4 linked regions of the Oryctolagus cuniculus genome follow. The protein of the gene in region 1 interacts with the protein of each later gene in a biochemical or structural test. Links are inferred from orthologs where the notes say so. Each region holds a gene or a part of one and is shown in the gene's direction. Other genes may lie near its edges. The genes, in order: HLTF, ubiquitin-conjugating enzyme E2 variant 2, PCNA and RAD18.

What was found.
Region 2: the proteins of HLTF (region 1) and ubiquitin-conjugating enzyme E2 variant 2 form a complex in vitro, tested with the Homo sapiens proteins (2 studies listed by BioGRID). The link is inferred for Oryctolagus cuniculus from reciprocal best matches to the Homo sapiens genes HLTF and UBE2V2.
Region 3: of the proteins of HLTF (region 1) and PCNA, one has a biochemical effect on the other in vitro, tested with the Homo sapiens proteins (2 studies listed by BioGRID). The link is inferred for Oryctolagus cuniculus from reciprocal best matches to the Homo sapiens genes HLTF and PCNA.
Region 4: the proteins of HLTF (region 1) and RAD18 form a complex in vitro, tested with the Homo sapiens proteins (2 studies listed by BioGRID). The link is inferred for Oryctolagus cuniculus from reciprocal best matches to the Homo sapiens genes HLTF and RAD18.

The regions. Positions count from the first base shown.
Region 1 is NC_091435.1:132,373,291-132,379,325, forward strand, and holds the start of HLTF (helicase-like transcription factor), read left to right. Parts: upstream 1-2,506; 5' UTR 2,507-2,756; coding exon 2,757-2,776; intron 2,777-3,891; coding exon 3,892-4,099; intron 4,100-6,035. UniProt on the Homo sapiens protein: Has both helicase and E3 ubiquitin ligase activities. Possesses intrinsic ATP-dependent nucleosome-remodeling activity; This activity may be required for transcriptional activation or repression of specific target promoters.
Region 2 is NC_091441.1:59,363,602-59,368,703, reverse strand, and holds ubiquitin-conjugating enzyme E2 variant 2, read left to right. Parts: upstream 1-2,613; 5' UTR 2,614-2,653; coding exon 2,654-3,091; 3' UTR 3,092-3,850; downstream 3,851-5,102. UniProt on the Homo sapiens protein: Has no ubiquitin ligase activity on its own. The UBE2V2/UBE2N heterodimer catalyzes the synthesis of non-canonical poly-ubiquitin chains that are linked through 'Lys-63'. This type of poly-ubiquitination does not lead to protein degradation by the proteasome.
Region 3 is NC_091442.1:30,189,566-30,195,642, reverse strand, and holds the start of PCNA (proliferating cell nuclear antigen), read left to right. Parts: upstream 1-2,646; 5' UTR 2,647-2,886; coding exon 2,887-3,107; intron 3,108-3,952; coding exon 3,953-4,050; intron 4,051-4,201; coding exon 4,202-4,269; intron 4,270-5,143; coding exon 5,144-5,338; intron 5,339-6,077. UniProt on the Homo sapiens protein: Auxiliary protein of DNA polymerase delta and epsilon, is involved in the control of eukaryotic DNA replication by increasing the polymerase's processibility during elongation of the leading strand.
Region 4 is NC_091441.1:117,605,007-117,610,501, forward strand, and holds part of RAD18 (E3 ubiquitin-protein ligase RAD18), read left to right. Parts: intron 1-1,937; coding exon 1,938-2,275; intron 2,276-2,915; coding exon 2,916-3,015; intron 3,016-5,495. UniProt on the Homo sapiens protein: E3 ubiquitin-protein ligase involved in postreplication repair of UV-damaged DNA. Postreplication repair functions in gap-filling of a daughter strand on replication of damaged DNA.

The DNA.
Region 1 (6,035 bases):
GAGAACGCTTCCATCCGATGGTTTACTCCCCAATTGGCCCAATTGGCTGCACCGATCTGAAGCCAGCCAGGAGCTTCTTCCGGGTCTCCCACGTGGGTGCATGGGCCCAAGGACTTGGGCCATTTTCTACTGCTTTCCCAGGCCAAAGCAGAGAGCTGGACCAGAAGTGGAGCAGCCTGGTCTTGAACTGGCCAGGGTGCTAACCCGCTGCGCCACAGTGTCAACCCCATATACGGTGTTAAAATAAATGAGGTAACAATACGAGGGAACAATTTATACTACTTTTCAACTTTTCTGTGAGTCTAAAATTAGTTTAATAAGTTGAAAAGGAGCTTGCATTTCTTTATTATATTTTGTGTCTTGCTTTCTTATGGCCAAAAACCAATATATATTTAACACAGAGAATGTGTTATATGCATATACACAAAAAGAAAGAAAATGAACACCCCCCCCATTTAAACATCTAGAGGTATCAGTGTTATAAGTTCCTTTGGTGTAATATATGGAAGTATATAGCATATATGATTTTAGTCAGAGGCTCCATTTGCAAAGGTAACCTTTATATTCCCCCCCTCCCCTTTTTAAAGATTCATTCATTTCTTTGAGAAGCACAGTGGTTAAGATGTACCTTGGGACCAGATTGCCTGGGTTTGAGTTCCAGCTCTACGTCTGTTCCCAGCTTCCTGTTCATATTCTCCAGTACCTGGATCCCTATCACCCACGTGAGAAACCCAGATTGAGCTTTCTTTCTTTCCTTTCTTTTTCTTTTCTCTCTCTCTTTTTGAAAGATTTGGTTATTGAAAGTCAGAGTTACAGAGAGAGAAGGAGAGAGAGGTCTTCCATCTGCTGGTTCACTCCCCAAATGGCTGCAATGGCTGGAGCTGTGCCGATCCAGGAGCTTCTTCCGGGTCTGCCAAGTGGATGCAGGGGTCCAAGGACTTGGGCCATCTTCTACTGCTTTCCCAGGCCATAGCAGAGGCTGGATTGGAAGTGGAGCAGCCGAGACTCAACTGGCACCCATATGGGATGCCAGCACTGCAGGTGGCAGCTTTACCTGCTAGCCACAGTGCTGGCCCCCTCTCTTTGCCTTTCAAAAAAAAAAAAAAAAAAAGGAAGAAAGAGCCACACATGCCATTCTTGGATTTCCTGTTTACCAAGTCAAACAGGGGGCGTGACATGATTGATTTCCATAAAGGGAGGGGGACAGATGAGAAAGTGTGTTTGTGACTGGGAGACAGGAGGCTGGAGCAGTTTTGGATTCCTTCCTCTTCCTCACCAGCCATACTCAAATCAATGGGTGAATCCTGCTAGCTCTCTGAGCTTTGTCAGCTCGCCATTCCAAGCCACCATTCTGTCTTACCTGGACACCATAATTTTCTATCAGTTGCTTCTATTCTTGCCTCCTAAAATTCATTCTCCACAGAACTGCCACAAGTGAATTTTTTGAAGCCTAATTCAGTCCTCATTCTCCTACTTAAAAAACATTCACTGGCTTCCTATTGCCATTAAAGTAAAATCCAAACTTTAGGAGGGTCCATGCATTAAAGTCTGCCCTTTATCTTCCTGATGATCCACTTTGTGTCAGCTTCTCCTCCTCCTTGGTCCACCAAGCAACCTACAGTTCTTGTTCCTGTTACAATCGTTCTTTTTTCACAAAACATAACCTACTGTGATCATTCTGGATTTGTACTTGTTTCATCTCAAAATGAGGACAAACTGCACTTGGTTGTTACACTAGAGATCCTGGGTCCCTCAAAGTGGGCATTGGAGGGATGAGTCAAGCAGATAACCTGCGTCCCTGGCAGCCCCGAGGCCACAGGTCCATCGTCCCAACCCCACTTTAACAAGCTTCTTCCGTCCTTGGCAGGGGCAGCCATGGGCCCACAGGGAAGCTGGTGTTGTCCATTTCCGGCAGTCGCCAACCAAGTCAGTTGTACCATCATACGTTACAGTCTTCCCGCGCTAAGAAATGACAATTTTCCTTTAACACACACACACACACACACACACTTGGGAGAAACACTCGCTCTGGAAGATCCGATGAAGATTTTCCAAACTCGGTGTATCATAGATTAAGTCAACGAGGCTTAAAATGGAAAAGAAAAAAGAAAAGAAAAAAAGACTAAGTCTCCACGGTTGCAACAGTTATTCCGCGGGTAGCCCAGGTTCTGTAGCAGAGCTTATTCAGACGAAGAAATGAAAATGAGAAAAATGAGCAGCAGAACGACGCAGAGGCTTGAAAATGTGTCTGGGCCTTAGAATGTGGCGGGGAAACAGCAGAAAGGAGAGTTGTTTTCTTCCGAAGCAGGGAATCACCAGAAAACGCAGCACCATCGCACGGTAGTCGCACTCCGACGGCCACGAGGCTTTCCCGCGCGCCCGGCTTGGGGGCGGGGAAGAACCCGGATGGAACAGCCCTTCGCAACCGGGACCCCCACTGTCTTTGAATCGCAGCGCGGGGCGGAGTTGCCCTCCCTTCCGTGTCCTGATTGGGTCATTTCCGCAGGCTCCCTCTCGTGATTGGGTGGTCCTAACGCCAGTCAGAGCGTCGCTGGTCTCTCGTATTGTTGCTGGAAGGAAACGGCGACGACGTCTGATTAGACCCGCGGCGTCTTTCCCTGTCGGTGGGAGCATTTCATCCTGCGCTCAGAACCTGCCCGCGGCTTGAAGGCTGTAGGGCCAGGAAGGACGCGTAACAGGCTGCATCAGAGCCCTCCAGGGCGCCCAGCGTCTTCCTCGTCACCCCGCACAGCGCCATGTCCTGGATGTTTAAGAGGTGAAGGGGGCGAAGGGGGTGGGGCACTGGAGCTAACGGCCTGGCGGCGTCCCCAAATGAACCTGACCTTCCCCGTGTTTCCTCCGCCTTCCCTGTGCGATTCGTGCAGCTTGTGTTTGTTCTACTTTTCGCTCCTGTGGCTAGGGGAGAAATACATGCATTGTCTTCTTGGCGAGGAGAGACTCTTCAGGCGAGTCTCGTGCCAGACCCTCGGGGAATTTATGTCACGGACTGTGGGGGGCCTGGGACTCAAGGCTTCCTAGCCCTTGCTTCAGGCAACAAAAAATATTCAGCTCCGCTGTGCCGCTACACATTGTGCTCGGACTAGAGGGTCGAGCAATACAGGCCTTGTCCCCAGGTGGTTCGTAATTTGTGTATATGCACAGACGGTTGCAAACGGTTGCAGAGAAGCTAGACGAGGTGTGCGTGATGCGGAAGGAAAACGCAGGCAAAAATAGCGACTGTCTCTTAAGAGAATAGAAACTTTCCGGAAGCCTCCACCAGACTAACGCTCATTTTCCTTCGTCCAGATTGCTTTTCATGCCTATTCCCAAAATCATTATTCATTAAAGGATTGGGGTTACCCTTAAACCAACGAATTGGGGAGCGGGAGATGACGTAGCTTGAATACCAGATTAAAATGCGGTCGGTTCCTAGGGAATTAAAGTAATGGATGCGGGATATAGTATCTGAAAAAATATAAACAACTTAATGTATGCATGCATAATAATGGTTCCATTTTTGCAAGTTTCTTCTGGCTAAGTCCTTCTTTAAATTTTGGCATAAAATTGGAGTTACAAACGTCATATACGCTTAAATTTAAGTGATTTTCACTGGGAAAGAGATTTGTGACCCTTTACAGGATTTTTCATTTTGTATGGGGGAGGGATGGACGAGCCAATTTAACAGGTGGGATTTCCGGGAGCTTTGCCTATTGCAGTCTCTGCTTTAACCAGAGTGACTGTTAATTTGTGTACAGTGATTCCCACATTAGATTTTATTTGCTAAAATAGAATATTAAAAACTATTGGCCTATAAATACGGATAAGTCTTTGAGAAGTACTTGGTTAAGTAGTGTATTGTTTTTTGTGCCTCTTCCCCTCCTTTTTTCATAGGGATCCTGTTTGGAAGTATTTGCAGACGGTCCAATATGGAGTCCATGGAAATTTTTCACGCCTCTCATATCCAACGTTTTTCCCACGTTTTGAATTCCAAGATATTATCCCTCCAGATGACTTCCTGACTAGTGATGAAGAGCTGGATTCAGTTTTATTTGGAACTTTGAGAGGTCATGTGGTTGGACTACGCTATTATACTGGAGTAGTGAGTATAACAGTAGATACTAAGTTAAATAGTGATATGTTTATGGTGTTAACCCAGAAAGTGAGAAATTTAGAAGGTGATGCATGCAGTTATTATAAATAATTGTAATATACATAGGCAAGAGATACCAAATACCTGAACTTCTTTAATATTTTATTTTTGTGTTACACTTATGATATATGCAGCACTTTTGCCAGCACTGTCACTTGATCCTTAAAATAACTCTGGAATAGATGGGACATTTATTATCCCCTTCCTATAACTGCAGCTCTGGAAGGTCAAAGCCATGTGAAGAAAGCAGGAATACTACACAAGGATACTTCAAAAAGTTTGACACAGTGAACAAGACGTGTTTTGGGATGCCCACATCTCATATCAGAGTGCCTAAATTCAAATCCCAGTTCCAGTTATGATTCTGGAAGGCAGCAGGTGAAAGTGTTAGATGGAAGGAGAGACAGAAAGATCTTTCTTCTGGGTCACTCCCCAGATAGCCACAGTAGCCAGCCCTGGGCCAGGCCAGAGCCAGTAGCTTCATCCGGGTCTCCCATGTAAGTGGCAGGGGCCCAGACACTTTTGGACCATCTCCCGCTGCTTTTCCCAGGCCATTAGCAGGGAGCTGGATTGGAAGTAGAGCAGCTGGAATGTGAAACTGGTTCCCATATGAAATACCGGCATCACAGGTAGTGGCTTTACCTGCACGCCATAATGCTGGCCACCTGTGATGACTTTTTTCTTCCTGTGTCTGTCATTCTAAATCTGTATTTTCTACTCTGTGCATGTGTATATATGAGAGGGGGCAGGAAGAAAAAAGAGGAAGAGACAGATTTGACTATGTAAATTTTTTTTTAAAGATTTATTTATTTATTTGAAAGAGTTACACAGAGAGAGAAGGAGAGAGAGAGAAAGAGAGAGGTCTTTCATCCGCTGGTTCACTCCTCAGTTGGCTGTAATGGCCGGAGCTGAGCCGATCCAAAGCCAGGAGCCAGGAGCTTCTTCGATGTCTCCCATGTGGATACAGGGGCCCAAGGACTTGGGTCATCTACTGCTTTCTCAGGCAATGGTAGAGAGCTGGATCGGCAATGGAGCAGCCAGGACTTACATGGGATGCCGGCACAGCAGGCAGCAGCTTAACCCACTGTGCCATAGCGCCGGCCCCGACTGTAACTTTATTTGGTCAGTAGTTTGCTGTGGCCATCTAGTCTGCTTGTGTGATATTTGGATAATAAACCTCTAATTTTATTAAATATGATTTAAAAATGAGCTATCAAAGTTAACAAAATTATTTTAATTATTAATAAAAATTAGTAAAAAATTTTAAACATGCATAAAAGTAGAGAATAGTACAATAAGCTTGGATATACCCTGGATCCAGATTAACAGGTTTTATTCCACATTTGCTTCATCTCTTTATTTTGTTCTTTGTGCTAAAGCAATCCCAAATGTGTCATTTTACATAGAAATCATTTAGTGTATATTTGTAAAAAAATTCATTTTCTTGCATGTAATTTTCATAATTGGCAAAATTGGGGCCAGTGTTGTGGTACAGTAGATTAAGGTGCTGCCTGCAGCGGCGTCTCATATCGGAGCTCTGGTTGCAGTTGTGGCCACTCCATTTCCAGTCCAGTACCTGCAAATGCACCTGGGAAAGCAATGAAGGTGGCGCAACTGCTTGGGCCCCTGTAGCCCATATGGGTAGTTTTGGAAAGATCCCTGGGCTCCTGGCTTTGGGCACGATCAGCCTTGGTTGTTGCAGCCAATTGGAGAGTGAACCAGTGGATGGAAGACCTCTCTCTGTCTCTTTCTCTCTGTTGCTCTGACTTTGAAATGAAGTAAGTCTTCTAAAAAATTCTTTCAAATTCTTGCATAGTTATTTCATAATATGCATTTCCAGAAACTTTGAAGACTCTTCCTACACAAGGATGTAAAAATTTCTGTG
Region 2 (5,102 bases), on another chromosome or scaffold:
TTGAGTGAACAGATGACTTCAGCCACATGTCTGACCTCCCGAGAGAACAACAGAAGAATGGACCCGACCCTACCCAGAATCATGACCAAATACTCTCTTCTTCTTACATCTAGTAGCAAGGAAAAACGGATGATACAGGGCATCAGTTGGCAATTGTAAGAACAGTGTTCTATAGTGGGGAAGAGGTGGTGGTAGAATCTAGTCAAGAAAGAATGGAGCTAGGAGCACAGGGAGTCTTCCTATGTAATGGAAGGGAAGGCAACATATATGTGGATACTCAGGACTACAGGACTACAGGAGTGCGAACTGGTGGGAATGGCTTGGAGAGTCTCTTTTCATGGCTTCAGTTTTGTTAACGTGAAGATAGGAAGGTGTAGGGAGTTGTAGAGTTGGAGGCTAAAGTTACAGCCAATTAAGGAGTAGGAAAGTAATTCAGTGGGATTATAGGAAAGCACTGGAAACCCCTTGAGGTTAGTGTTTTTACACCCTAACAGAGACCTGTCAGCTGAGTGCTTTTCCCTAGCCATATTCAGATGTTTGAGTACAGGGTAGCATAGGTTGAAAGAAAGTTGGGTTTAATTATCATTGAAGATTGAAGTATGACAGAGTGAGGGAGAGTCAATAAAATTTAGCATATATGCAAGGGAATTCTTCTTTTTTTTTATTTTTTTTATTTTTGACAGGCAGAGTGGACAGTGAGAGAGAGAGACAGAGAGAAAGGTCTTCCTTTGCCGTTGGTTCACCCTCCAATGGCCGCCGCGGCCGGCGCGCTGCGGCCGGCGCACCGCGCTGATCCGATGGCAGGAGCCAGGAGCCAGGTGCTTTTCCTGGTCTCCCATGGGGTGCAGGGCCCAAGCACTTGGGCCATCCTCCACTGCACTCCCTGGCCACAGCAGAGGGCTGGCCTGGAAGAGGGACAACCGGGACAGAATCCGGCGCCCCGACCGGGACTAGAACCCCGTGTGCCAGGCGCCGCTAGGCGGAGGATTAGCCTAGTGAGCCGCGGCGCCGGCCTATGCAAGGGAATTCTTACAATGACAGTCATGAAATGAATACAAGCCCATCCGTGGGAAAGAAAGACAATGGAAGGATAAAATTTTGAGAAAAGGGGAAAGATAAATGGACTGAATACAAACTTGGAAGAGAAGGTTCAATGTGTTATTGTATATTATCTACTTTTGGTACACATTGTGATCTTGGGAGCACCACTTAAATTTACTGATTTAAGTGGGAACTGAACTAGAAGAAACCCTAAGGTTTCCTTACAGTTTTAACAATCTGTCCTTATATGATTCTATGTAAAAAGTAGACAATAACAAGAAATAGACTGTTTTGCTTAAAAAAAAAAAACACCCAATATGGGCAAAACTCAATGTTAAGTTTTCTCATAACATCTCAAGGTTAATTAGGTACTAATTATTTCTCTCACTTGTTTGTTGCATTTGTTTAGGATGACTGCTGTGCAGTTATCTTGAAATAAATATTGAGAGAAAGGATGGAACATACCTGGGGTCACTGGAATTACAGGCTAGTGAACAAGACTACACAGTGGAGGTAGGAATGTTGGGTTTCTGCCCTGGCACTGATTGTGTGTGTGTGTGTGTGTGTGTGTAAGTAGTTTTTAATGCTTTTACTATGATTTGTTACAAATTCTGAGCTGCTTTGTATTTGTGGTTCACTTGAATGTTTTACTAAACCAGAGCTGGGCACAGAAGTCCTGGAACAGATTAGACATGATTGTGTTCTTTCCCCTTGTTCATCAGAATCTGGACAAGACACAGCAGCCATGATGGCATAAGAAAGCAAATAAACCTTCCGAACATCCTTGTCAAAGATGTTACATTTTTAATTGAAAAGAATCTTCTAATACCCATGCCCTTGCTGGCTATTCAAACTACTTCTATACTTGACAGCCTACTGCATTTTTTTCTGACTAGTCTCCCTTCTTCATTTCGCCTTTGCTACAGTTTTTTTTTTAACCACATAGCATCCAGGAGTGACCATTACAGAGGGTGCGGGCACTCAGTGGTTACAACAACACTTGGGAACTTGCATCCCATGTTTGTGTGTCTGGCTCTGCTTCTGCTTTTGGCTTCTTGCTAATGTGTGTCTGGGAAGGCAGCAGGTGATGGATGCTCCTCCTCTCTACCCATGCAAGAGACCAGATTGAGTTCCAGGCTCCCAGTTTCAGCCTGGCCAAGCATTGACTGTTGCAGGCATTTGGGGAGTGAAGTAGTGAATAGAAAATCTCTCTCTGCCACTGTCTCTCTATCTTTGTTCTCTGCCTTTTAAATAAATAACTAAATGTAATTTAAGAGAAGTCCATACCAATAAATGTTTTTGTTCTTAGTGACTACCTGTGAGTAAATAGGATGTGGAATGTGTGACAGAGTGTCATGAATAGGGGAGGAAAAAAATCAGAGCCAAAGGACAAAGAATCACCAGGGAAGAAACAATGTCAAGAAAGGGGCAAAAACATGAAAAGGATTTGGGAGGAGAGTTACACTAGAATTTTGTCCTGAGTGGGAATAATTTTATTTTCCAATTTGCAAGATAATGGCACTGTTAACCACTGGTAATGTATACTTCCAAGTACTAGAAATTTTTACTTTTTAAAAGCAGGTTGTTGGGCTGCGTCGGGCTGCAGGAGAAGATGGCGGTCTCCACAGGAGTTAAAGTTCCTCGTAATTTTCGCTTGTTGGAAGAACTTGAAGAAGGACAAAAAGGAGTAGGAGATGGTACGGTTAGCTGGGGCCTTGAAGATGATGAAGATATGACACTTACAAGGTGGACAGGCATGATTATTGGGCCACCAAGGACAAATTATGAGAACAGAATATATAGCCTGAAAGTAGAATGTGGACCTAAATACCCAGAAGCTCCTCCATCAGTTAGATTTGTAACAAAAATTAATATGAATGGGATAAATAATTCCAGTGGAATGGTGGATGCACGGAGCATACCAGTATTAGCAAAATGGCAAAATTCATATAGCATTAAAGTTGTACTTCAAGAGCTAAGACGTCTAATGATGTCCAAAGAAAATATGAAGCTTCCACAGCCACCAGAAGGACAAACATACAACAATTAATTTTAATGGATCTCAAACTTGTCTTAAATCAACAACCTTCTACTCATATTAATGTCTTGATTAAATATCACAATGCAGAATACCCACACATTCAGTAAAGAATTCCAGCTGGTATATGTGACCCGGACATTTGTAATATATTTAATATATGTACACCCATTATGTTTTCAGGTAACGGGAGGAAAAATGCAGCACAATTTTTCTTTCTCTTGTTGAGGCACTGTCATTTAAACATAAACCTGGAGTGCTCCAAGTAGGATTCGGGTTTACAAGACGCAAGCGTGGCGAGACGTGTGAGATGGCAGTGGAAACGTGTGTTTCTGAAAAGTAAAAATCCCAAGAAGGACAAACAGAAATGGCATGCTTTTATCCATCTTGCTTAGTGAAAGAGCTGCAGTTGAAATTGTTTAAAGTAGCAGGTACAATGAATATTGTCACAAATTGTGTTAAATTTTAAAGCGGTGTGGGTGCTGACTACTAGTAGTATAAACATATGTTCAGGATTGTTTTGATACCTGTATTTATAATAAAAAAATGTTGGGGGGGGGTCGATGAATTTCTGTTAAAAGCTGTTCCTGTGTGTTACATGTAACAGACATGGTAAATATTTGTTTACATTCTTTGTTTAACAAACCATGCATTTAAGTTCAAGTGAAGTCAACAAAAAAAGAAAATAGGTGTATGGATATGTGATTTTGAGATTAAAGTTAGTCATAAAATGTAAATAAAATGTGGAAAGTGTCCTCGGGAAAAAAAAAATCAGGTTGTTGATGGTTTTTCTTGGTACCAAATAAATTGAAAAAGAAAGGAAAGCTGTGCATCTGCTAAGAAAAGGTGAAGCAACCGTTGCATAAGGCAATGGAAGCTGTTCAGCACAAGCCTTTCAGGGAAAGATCTGGTGTCTTATAATGTTACAGTTACTATGGTGACAATGCATTTTTAATGACACCATTAAATGGTGGTATAACTACTTGTAACCAAGGAGTGCTGAATACTCACAGCTGTGTTGTTTTGAGTTTATGTGACTTTTCTCCAGGATGGTTTTTAATGACTTCAAAATAAAAGTGTTCTATAACAGAACAGTACTTTGGTGTATAAAATATGTACATTTTAGAAACAGAAAGGACCTTAGAGGGCCTTAGAGGACGTTAATTCTCCCCATCTCACCATACACATTCACACACAGAGAATGAAAACTCCTACATGTTTATACTTTATAGATGAAAATCTAGAGGCAAAGATTATGTTGTTTTTTATCATATCATTTCACTGGTGACAGAATTAAGATAGCAGGTTTTCTGACTCCTAGAATAATTTCTTTCCACCATAACATGTGGTATCTTCCCCCAAACAACATGACACATAAAATATTAAATATTCTTTTCACACATCAAAGTTAGTAAGAGGTTCCAATGAGTTTATATCACCTTGTGGGATTGTAAGGTGATCAGGACCCAAAGGAAATATTAACGAATGAGTAACGTAGCTGATAGAGTCTATAGATAGAAATAAAGAGGTTCATAAATCCTTTAAAAGTATTAGCAAATGTCCTTAGGCAAATATTTCTCTAGTGAGTGACTTTGCTATGGTTTGACTATGACTTGGCCCTAGTACTTATGCAGGGGTTTAAATCCCCAAGCCCTATATTAATAATACTAAGAGAGTGGAAATTAAATACGATTATGGTGTTAAGAGGTAGGGACTTTGAGAAGTGATAAAAACTACATTATATTGGGTTTTTCAAAGAGGGGGAGCTGACTGGTCTAATCTAGACGATGATAGTAAAAAAAAGTGGATGGAGTGCAATCTCAGGGAAGGGTTAGGGAGAAAATGGCAAAGGAAACTCCACACAAACTAGGGGGGACACTATGGAACAATGTGGAGGTTTTGGATGCACACAGCTTGGGACCCCAGCAGCTGAGAGCCTCAGTACCAGCTTTGGAGTGAGGTGAGACCAGACTGCAGCAGCCCAAGCCACTGATGATAAAGCTATGGGAAGAACCTGGTATGG
Region 3 (6,077 bases), on another chromosome or scaffold:
AGCAACTGAGTAGGAAACTCTGAAGGTGGAGAAATAGTAGGAATGCCTAACTCGATTTTGTTTATATATTTTTTAATATATGCACAAGAGTAATATAGGATAAAAATGTGTTTAACATCCACAAAGATATTTTACAATTATAAAATAGAAAGTCTAATCAACAAAGTATTATATGATCATTTAAAGATGCTATTTTCTTTCTTGTGCTATGCTACATAAAATAACAATACATTTTACAATTGATGAAATCTCAAATAGATATGCCTAATTAGAAATTCCAGGGGAAGAGTACAGAGTAAGAAGAGACAATATTTCACGTCTTAATGGCTAATAATATTCTAGACTTGAAGAAATAAATGAATCTTCAGTGCTTTGAACAGAATAAGTAAAAATAAATCCAAGGGTGAGATGTTGTAGTGCAGTGGGTTAAGCTGCCACTTAAACTAAAACCACATGTCCCTAATCAGAGTACCTGTTCAAGACCCAGTTACTCCACTTTCACTCTAGTTTCCTGCTCATGCATCCTGGGAGGCAGCAGAAGATGGTTTAAGCAGTTGGGACCCTACCACCAATGTGAGAGATTCAGATTAAGTTCCTGGCCCCTGGCTTCAGTCTGGCCCGGCCCAGGCAGATGGAAGGTCTCTGTCTCTCTGCCTTTGAAATGCAATGAAAATAAATAAAGATAACTAAACCCACACCTAGGTAGGTAACAACAAGCTAAAGAATTCTACAGGTAGATATTCAAAGCTTCTAAGGAGAAATGCTATTGGGAAAAAAAAAAAAAAACACAAGAGAAATGAGCAAGGGATTTGTTCTCATAGATGAGGGTGCTTCAGAAAGTCGTGGGGGTGTGGGCGCTGTGGCCCAGCAGGCTAACCGTGGCTTGAGATGCCTGCAGCCCATATTGGAGTGCCAGTTTAAGCCCTGTCTCCCCTGCTTTTGATCCAGCTGATGGTCCAGATTGTTGCGTCCCTACATGAGAGACTTGGATGGCGTACCAAGCTCCTGGCTATTGTATGCATTGGGGAAGTGAACCAGCGGATGGACGACCTGAGTGCGTTCATTTGTGTCATTGTGTCTTTCAAATAAATCTGTAAGTAAAGATCATGCAAAATGATATTAAAATATATCTTGGTGCAAAAATGGAAATACATGCTACACACTTTCCATAAGCTTTTTGAGGATCCCAGATATAAATGGATTTTTGAAATCTTTGCCCCAAATAATTTTTTTTTCAATATCCTTTCATTTACTTGAAAGTCAGAGTGATAGAGACAGAGGCAGGGAGAAAGAGAGAGAGGTCTTCCATCCGCTGATTTACTCCGCAAATGGCCACAAGCAGCTGGAGCTTGGTCAATCCAGCGCCTGGCCAATACACAGCCAGGAGCCAGGAGCTTCTTCCAGGTCTTCCATGTGTGTGTGTGGGCCCAGGAATTTGGGGCCATCTTCCACTGCTTTCCTAGGCCATAGCAGAAAGCTGGATCGGAAGTGGAGCAGCCGGGTCGCCCATATGGGATGCCAGCACTGCATGGAGCGGCTTTACTCACTATGCTACAGTATTGACCCCTAAAATAAAATCTTCTATCTGGGGCCAGAGCTGTGGCAAAGGGGGTAAAGCTGTGGCCTAAAGTGCCAGCATCCCATATGGGCGCCAGTTTGAGTCCTGGCTGCTCCACTTCTGATACAGTTCTCTGCTGTGGCATGAGAAGGTAGTAAAAGATGATCCAAGTCCTTGGGCCCCTGCACTGGCATGGGAGACCCAGAAGCTCCTGGCTCCTGGCTTTGGATTGGCGCAGCTCCAGCCGTTGTGGCCATCTGGGGAATGAATCAGTGGATGGAAGACCTCTCTCTCAGCCTCTGCCTCTATAACTCTGCCTTTCAAATAAATAACTCTTAAACACACACACACACACACACACACATCGTCAAGAAATACAAGCATTTGAAAGATACCGATCTGTAACACTAAACTTTTCACACAACTGAGCACGGATTTAAAAATGAGACTTTCAGTATCTGTAGTCAAGAAAACATAGGAGATGAGCACGCTTACACACACGATCTTTAGAAGCCAACTAGTAATTTATCTGAATGAGTATACTCTTCATTCATCACTGCTACTTCAGGGAGTTGAACTCACAAAAGCACCCAAATGCCCAAAGGTGTTCTTAATAACAGGAATTGGTCATTAGGTCGCATACATGGGACGTTACGGAACCTTTATTAAGTAAATACCGAAAAGATGTTCGTGACATACTCTGTTGGAACGTGAACGTATTTCTTTTTAAATATCTTTTTATAGAAGAAAGTGTAGAAAACTGTAGACAGCAAACAGTTGAGAGATTATATGATCTTGGTATGTGTGTGCTGGGAGCCAGTGATTCTCCCCTCAAAGCGAGAGGCTTAGAAACCAACACAGCGCACCAAGCTCGACGGTCACCCGGTGCTTCGTCGCCCAGACATGTCTGGCGTCCGCCCCAGGAACTAAGAAAAACGCGGGGCGGCTGGCAGTGCGTCACCCTGTCGGCCTCCGAAGGCGCGCTGTGCGCCTGCCCCGCCCCCGCTTCAGCAGCCTCCAATGACTGCCTTTCGGGGGCGGGCTTTGCGCGGAGCAGGAACACGATTGGTCCTCAGGATCCCTTCCGCCCAGCCGGTGGGCGGGGAAGCGTCGTGACGCCTTAACACGGGGCGCAGGGGCGGAGAGCGCGCGCTTACAGACGCGGCGGCATTAAACGGTAGCCGGCGCTGCGAACCAGTCGTCGTCTTTCGGGGGGTCTTGGGTACACGCCGCTGTATTCGTCCGCTCGTCCTGAGCCTCGCGAAGAAGTTTCAGCCAGAACTTTCTCCTTTACTCGCCTGCAGCCGCGACACTGCGACCCCGCCACCATGTTTGAGGCACGCCTGGTCCAGGGCTCCATCCTGAAGAAGGTGCTGGAGGCACTCAAGGATCTCATCAACGAGGCCTGCTGGGACATCAGCTCGGGCGGCGTGAACCTGCAAAGCATGGACTCGTCCCACGTCTCCCTGGTGCAGCTCACCCTGCGCTCCGAGGGCTTCGACACGTACCGCTGCGACCGCAACCTGGCCATGGGCGTGAACCTCACCAGGTAAGCCCGGGGCTCTGGCCCACCGCCATCCCCGGCTCTTGGCGGGAGCGCCTTCGAGGCGGGCCCTCATTGGCTGGGGTGGGCCACCGGCGCCTTCTCATTGGCCTGCCACGGCGGGAGGCGGGACCCTGGGGAGCGCGCGGTTCCGAAAAGCCCGCGCTGGCCGCCGCGCGAACCGGCTCTTTTCCGCGCCAACGTCACAAAAGCGAGTGGTGGCGGGAAAACGCCTGTCGCGGAGCGCTCTGCAGCCCGGAATGGGGAAACCTGTGGTCGTGTTGACTCGCACTGCGTTGTTACGTGCTCTCGTGGCAACGTGTGGCTCTGTGTCACCCTTCTTGGGCCACATGATGTTTCTGGGTCTTTATTACACGGTCGCACTGAGCATCCTAAACTGGATTTGTCCTGGGGACATTTCCCCGGGGCATTGGCTTTCAGCTTCCTGACTGCTCCCTGTCTGGTCCGTGTATACGGTTAAGTTTTAAAAGGCTCGAGAGAAATAACTCCTAGTGCGTGGGGCGTGTTTCAGGTTTGTTAGCTCACTTAATAACGGTCGTCGTGGCCCACTAATTTACTAAACCCACTGGAGGGATTTACAGTGCACAAAATACTGCTGTTTATGTGTTACACCCAGAGCTGAAATTGCTGGTGTGTTCCGGTGTTAAGTATTAGTAGGACCGGGTTGCCTTCCTGAATGGTGCTGGACCCCTGAACCCAGCCTCCAGCCAGTTTCCCCTCACCTGTCTATCACACAGCCTGAGGGGTGGGCATGGTAGCTCCTGATTGCGCTCGGAATCTAGATTTAGAGCAGATGGTGTTGATTGCAAACCGTATCTTGTGTGTTGTAGCATGTCCAAAATACTAAAATGTGCCGGCAACGAAGACATCATTACACTGAGGGCTGAAGATAATGCGGACACCTTGGCGCTAGTATTTGAAGCACCAAGTAAGTCATAACCTTGTACTGAGTTATGCTATAGGGAACTAAAATCTCTCTTGATTCTCAGCTGTGAGAATTTTAAATTTTTTGTGATGGTCGTAAAAATTTACATCATGATTATAAAACATTTTTCTTAACATTTGCTTTCTTTTCGTAGATCAAGAGAAAGTTTCAGACTATGAAATGAAATTAATGGACTTAGATGTTGAACAGCTTGGAATTCCAGTGAGTATCAGCTTCTGATTGCACATAGTCATCAGTTACTTAAGATGTGTTAATATAACCTAATGCCTACTGCCTATATATCTAGATTTTCTTTTTTTTTTTTCAAAGCAAGATTTGTATATTTGTATGACAGTTGTCATTTTACTAAACTGTAGCAGCCTAAAACTGACTGTGGGGTGAATTCATTTTTTGCTGTGGAGTGCTTACTTGCATTAGCCTCTGTGCGTCTTTTTTTTAATTAAGGGTGGGCTTATCACCATTAAATGAGAACAGCTGTTGGGAATGTTTAAAATGTAAAATGCATAATGTGTTTTCACTTTTAAGTCTGCCCCATCACTACTGTTCGAAACCCTAATATCCTCTTGATTTGGCTCTGGAGGATCATTAAGAGGTTCTTGTATGATTATTATGCCATACTACTTTTAGTTGGAGTGTGAGTCATATACTAACCAGTTTTTAATTAAAGATTTGAGAAGCAAAGTGGCAAACAGATGAAAAGAGATCTTCCATTCACTAGTTCACTCCCTAAATGGCTGCAATACCTAGGCCTGGCCCAGGCCAAAACCAGGAACCTGGCATTCCCTCTAGGTCTCCCACAAGGGTAAAAGAGGCCCAAACACTTGGGTCATCGTTTGCTGCTTTCCCAGGTACATTATTAGCAGGAAGCTGCATCAGAAGCAGGGCAGCTTGTATTTGAACTGGCATTACAGTGTGGGCTGCCTGTGTCTGCAAATGAGTTTAACCTGCTGTGCCACAATACTGGTCTCTAGTAATGTTTTAAAGAAATCAGAAAAACCTGAGATCTGAGTTTAGACGTTTGCTTAAGAGTGAGGATGTCAGATTTCCAGCAGTTAATGTTAAGTTTGTTTTATAGGAACAAGAGTACAGCTGTGTAGTAAAAATGCCTTCTGGTGAATTTGCACGTATATGCCGAGACCTCAGCCATATTGGAGATGCCGTTGTAATATCCTGTGCAAAAGATGGGGTGAAGTTTTCCGCCAGTGGAGAACTGGGAAATGGAAACATTAAGTTGTCACAAACGAGCAATGTTGATAAAGAAGAGGAAGCTGTAAGTAGTAAAGTTAGATTTAGCATTTCTCAAATATTTTGGAGAATTGTAATGTCCAACAAATTAGGTTAATTATGAAAGGTAAAAATAAAAATGCATTCCAGGTTACTTGTGAAAATTGAAAATATTGCTACTATTTGAAATCTGCAAGTGATCCCATTAAGGGATCTTCAAAATTTTATGGAAAATGTGTATTATGAAAACTACATGGATTAAAAACTGCACCAAAACTTATCTTTTAATTCCATTTCCTGCATACTTTGTAAACTGCCCATGTCTAAGTGCCATCCAGTGTAGAATCATCTGAAAACGGAATGCACTGAACTGTGGCTTTGTGGGTTTAAAATAGGAATTCCCAAAAGATTTGGAAAGTAGGCATCTGTCCCCTAGGTTTCTGGAGATGTTCACTCTGTTTATGCCAAATGTACACAGGACAGTTCAGTGGTTGGGGTAAAAGTCTAGCTAGTATGAGCTCTTATAAAGCTAATATATAATGGTTACATGTGTTGTAGCTGCTATTTTAACCCATTTTAAAGGTAGAGAAGTAGACAATCATGTTTTTAAGCATTTTTTAAATGTTTGAGCTAATATGGTCAACTAAAATTAAACTATTTGCTAGCCTGAGCATCAGTTAAAACTCTTTGTAAATCAACAATTAAAGATCTTCCTGGGATTATTTTAATTTTTGCCATATTCTAAGTGCTTAGCACAATGTCTGGCATTTTAAGGTTACAGTAAA
Region 4 (5,495 bases), on another chromosome or scaffold:
CTTGGGGGCATCATTTACTGCCTTCCCAGGTGCATTGGCAGGAAGCTAGATTGGAAGCAGAGCAGCTGGAACTTGAACCAGCACTTGGCCATAGTTGCAAATTGTGGTTCTGTGCCACAGGATGTGTCTCTTTTCTGTTCTTTGTTCTCTGTTATTATTTGCTTCTATCTCTGGTTTTAGTTTGATGTTTCTAAGCTTGGAATATTGTTTGTTTCTTATTAATCCAATTTTTCCTTTAGGGACTACTTTGTTAAACTCTCATGTTATCATTTACCTCAGAATATCTTTACATTTCCATTGTGATTTGTCCTGTATAGTTATTTAGAATTGTGATGCTTATATAATATTGGGATATTTATTAATTATTTTTCTGTTAGTTTAGTCTGAATTCTAAAGTGGCAGATTTTGATTTTTTATAAGATTTGGAAGTTCATAATCCTCGATTTTTCTGATATTTCCCATTCTCTTCCTGCTTCTTTTGGATACCAGTTATTATCTCTACAGGAAGTCTTCAAAAAATTCATAGAAATGTCTGTTATGAAAAACCTATGGTGGGTTTCACTTTTTTTCAGCAAAATAATTTTTGATTTACCCTTATATATCGTACTTTACTTTTATTGTCTTTTCTCTTCTTTTTTCTCTCTCTACTTGGGTTTGTGTATTTCTTGTTGTCCTGTCTTAATGATTACTAATACCGTCCTCTGCTGTCTCCTATTATACTCATCCAGCTTTGCAACTGTAGAATGTTCATTTGATTATTTCTAAAGGATTTTAATACTCTCTTGAAGTACATTATCTTTTTTATCCATTTGTCGTCTTTTTTTCTGTAACTTGCTTATCACAGTTCTTTTGAAGTCATGCCTGCTAATGCCTCTTTTTGGATTACCTCTGGGTTTGCTTCTGTTGACTGTTTTTTCTCTTGGTTAGTGCCTGTGTTTTTCCTTGCTTCTTTGCATGCCTGGTAACTTAAAAATACATGCTGAGTATTGTAGGTGAAATATATAAGCTGTGAATTATCCTCATTTGAAAGATGTTGAACTTTGTTGTGATGGCAGTTGAATGAGCAGCTCTTCAGCTCTGTTCTGGTGAGGTGAGGTGCAGTGTTTGGTTGGGTAAGGTTGACTTTGGCTTTGCTTACGCTTCTGCACAACTTGCAGAAAATTCTCCTGGGGTGACCCTCATGAGAGTTTTAGATCACTCCCCGTGTCTGTTCTCCCTTGTATTAATTACAGCCCAGTTGTTGTATGTTAGAAGAAAGTTGTTTTTGATTACAGAATAAACCTTGGGGTTGGTGCTGTAGTGTAGCAGGTAAAGCTGCTGCCTGCAGTACCAGAATCCCGTATGGGTGCTGGTTCAAGTCCCAGCTGCTCCTCTTCCGATCCAGCTCTTTGCTATGGCCTAGGGAAGCAGTGGAAGATGGTCCAAGTCCTTGGGCCCCTGCACCCATGTGGGAGACCCAGAAGAAGCTCCTGGCTCCTGGCTTCAGATTGGTGCAGCTCCAGCTGTTGTGGTCAATTGGGGAGTGAATCAGGGGATGGAAGACTTCTCTCTCTCTCTCTCTCTCTCTGCTTCTCTGCCTCTCCTTCTCTCTCTGTTAACTCTGACTCTCAAATAAATAAATCTTTAAAAGAAGAGAGAGAGAATAAGCCTCATATCAGCTGTTCCATGACCAGAGCCTGAAGTCTGCCATTTGCTTATACACACCGATGAACTATCTTTGGAGTCAGGTTTATTGCTTTTGTTTTATTCCAGCAGCAACACTTTGGTTTGGTTGTCATTATGGCCTAACTTCTGTATCTCAGAGGAACAAGTGTTAACTGGGAAAACAGTTTGTGTTATTCCCCTAAGCATCATTTCGTGTCCTGGTGATGGGTTGAGTGTTGTTACATTAGTATTTTTGGCTGATGGGAAAGCCTGCTGTGTTTCTGTGCTTTCAGGAGTCATCTGTTGCAGTCTGCTTTGGAGTCGCCTCCCATCTCTCCCGTGTCCTCCTCTGCGAAGAAGCTCACCGGCAGAGCCCTCACTCCTGCTGCCGCCAGACAGTCTTCAAAGCATGGCCGCAGACTGATAGACAATTTCTTGATCAAGGAAGTTGCAAGTTCCACATCAGAGTTGTTGATAAACGAAAAGGAAAGCAAATTGAGCCCTCAGACAGAGGCGGGCCCTTCTGCAGAGCCCAAGGAGACATGTTTCCCAGAAAAGGTGACTCCTGGCTCCATGGAGGCCAACGGTCCCGAGACCCCCTCTACATCCACTTTGAAACAGGTTGCTAAAGGTAGGAAATTCTTACGTGACAATTCATACTCAGCGGTCGTCTCCTGGCCTCTTACCCGTGTAGACCTGAGAGACCACCCCAGATCCCTGTAACTCCACGAAGTTGTTTGGGAGTGACGAACTAATCTTAGCATTACGTGGGGAATTACCAATAAAAGCTAAATCAATCAGTTCGTGCCCGTTGGAAAGGTGAGCAGTAGTTGGGCCAGCCAGTCAGTGCGTTGATGAAGCTGCTCCTGCCCCTGCCTTGCCTGCAGACCCGGGCTGTCTTCCCCAGCCTGTTGTGATTGCGTCTGTGCTAAATACGGATGGCAGCTGACGCTTGGGAAAACCTAGGACTAGCTTAGAGTTTGGTCGTACCTTGCTGGAAAAGCTTAACCAGAGCATTCTCCAATAAATCAACTTGCAGGCTCATTTGCATTCTTTTCCTCTAGGCCCAAGATTCTAATTGTGTGACTCCCCGCATATAGCGTTACCCGGTCCTGTTGCCTTCATGGGTTATTCTTTTTCTCTTCTGTTTTTCTAAGTATATGTTAAATTGGGATTCCGTTTTTTGTCTTAATTGCTGAAAGGTATTGGCTTATATAATTTTTTATTTTTCTGCAAATAATAACACCCTTTTCTCTTTTTAAAAAATACAGTGGATTGTCCTGTTTGTGGGGTTAACATTCCAGAGAGTCACATTAATAAGCACCTAGACAGCTGTTTGTCCCGTGAAGAGAAGAAGGAAAGCCTCCGAAGGTAAGATAGTTGAGCGCGACTCTTTATTTCTTCTAAGATTTATTTATTTATTTGAAAGGCAAAGTTACAGAGAGAGATGTAGAAACAGAAAGAGATCTTCTTTCTGTTGGTTTACTCTTCAATAACCACAAAAAGCTGGGGCTGGGTCAGGCCGAGGCCAGGAGCCTGGAACTCCATCTGGGTCTCCCACGTGGGTGCAGGGACCCAAGCACTAGGGCCATCCTCTGCTGCTTTCCCAGGCGCATTTGCCGGAAGCTGGATTGGAAATGGAGTGGCCAGGACTCACACCGTCACCCATGTGGGATGCCGGTGCTGAGGCGGTGCCTTTACCTGCTGCATGACGATGCTGGCACCGCAGCACAACTCGGCGCCTTTCTGTAGGTGTTTCCTAGGCTTTACGAATTTGGAAAAAAAGGCAGCGTTCACTCTGCTGTCTGCCCCAGCCCTCCAGTCCCCTTCTCCTTTAGCTGTGACGTCTCCCAGTCCCTGCCCGCTTGCTGTTTCCTCAGCTCCCACTCGGTCAGAATACTTAGCTGAGTCGGGTCTGGGGACTGCTACTAAAATTTTAAACGTCGGAGACCGCAGTTCATTTCTTTCCAAGCTCGTCTGTGAAATTGGGTGTTGTGGGCCAGAGCTGTTTTCTGCTTTCCCCATCCCCAGGGCAGGAGCACCGATCAGTGGGGCTTGCTGGGGAGCGTGAGGCTTAAGCGTCCAGGAGAAGAAGACTTGGAAAGAAGACGGAAGCCGAAGAAGTGAATGGGGATCGGGAAGTGGGCGTGACTGGAGCGATCGGCTCCTTAGTTTCCTCTGTCTTGAAGGACGTAGCAGACTGATTTCCAAAAGCCGTGAAGTAATAGTACCTTGTAAAGAAGGCAGGACCGTCTTACTGTTTTTGTGATTAGAGATAGATGCCGCTTGATTTTTGAGCAAGTTTTAAGGGAGTCCAGGCTCTGAAGAACACTTGGTGTCACGTGATCCAGAAGGCAACCTACAGCACAGCTTACTGTGTTAGCTCCTGGTTGGGGACGTGCTTGAGAATGGACCCTGGGCAGCTGCGTACGCACAATGCTCCCACCTAGTGGGCAGTGTGTAGGAGAGAATAAAGGTTTTAGATGGCTTAGTTAGGAGAGACTTGAGATAAGTTAAGCTGGATGGTCCCACAGGTTGTTTCCCATACGTCGTGGGAAGTCTGCAGGCTGCCTTTCTCTTTGAGGGTGTTTGTTCCTATAGAATGAGTTGGGAGTATGGAAGCTGAGTATTTTCTTTCTCAAGAATAAAGAATTGCTTTTTCTGGATACATCTGTCATGTTTCTGCAGATATGTTCAGCTCAAAGACAGCCTTGTCCATGATTTGTCAGTGTCCAAGAGTGAACAGTGCAGTCCAGGGGCTGGTGCTGTGGTGTAGTGGGCTAAAGTCTCCGCCGGCAGTGCCGGCATCCCATGTGGGCGCTGGTTCCAGTCCTGGCTGCTCCTCTTCCGATCCAGGTCTCTGCTAAGGCCTGGGAAAGCAGTGGAGGATGGCCCAAGTATTTGGGCCCCTGCATCCATGTGGGGGACCTGAAGGCAGCCCCTGGCTCCTGGCTTTGGATTGGCCCAGCTCAAGCCGTTGTGGCCATTTGGAGAGTGAATCAGCGGTTGGAAGAGCTTTCTCTCTGTCTCTGCCTCTCACTGTCTGTAACTCTACCTCTCAAGTAAATAATTAAAATAAAGAAATAATAAATACAAAGAACACTGCAGCCCTGCCGGTTGCTCCTGAGTGTGACTTGGACACACAGCGTGCCGGTCGCCCTGTTAGTGCACGGGAGGCTCGGAGAAGTCCTGCTTGAAAAGTAACCGCTGGGTTTGTTTAACGCGGGCATGCCTAGATTTGCTGGATCCTGACTTTCTGTCTGGCTGGCTGTAATCTGTGACAGCGGTGTTCAGAGGCACCGTGGGGGAACGTTGAGTCGTGTGCTGGTTCTGGGGTTCCCTCACATGAGGAGCACCTGCCAGGTGTTCACTTTGCCACAACACCCTGCCAGGCTGTCTCCTGGATCTGGGTGACAGCTTCATTCTGCATAAACCCTCCCAGGGTCGACTGCGGGCGCAGCCCCTTTGGTGCCTTCGGATTCTGAGGCCCTTGCGTGCGTTTCACAGTTTGACCAAATCGTGAATGGAAGACCGGTCATTTTTCTGTCTGGGGAAGCATTTGGCAGGCTTCAGGTCTTTAAATTCTTGATAGAAATGTTTCATCTCTGCAGAGTTTTCCGTCGTAAATGCCAGGAAATAGTTCGGTTCTGTAGAATTTCACGGTGGTAAGTTTAATCTTGTCTCCTTTGTAAAAATAAATGAGTCAGATCCAGAACTAATGAATTGTCCTTCCATGTGCTGTGTAAACACCTGCAAAGTTATTCAGCCAGTGATGCCTACTGTGATTTTATTTTGTGATTTTATTAGTCTTGTAGAATTCAATGGGCTCTCATTATAAGAAGAACAATTTT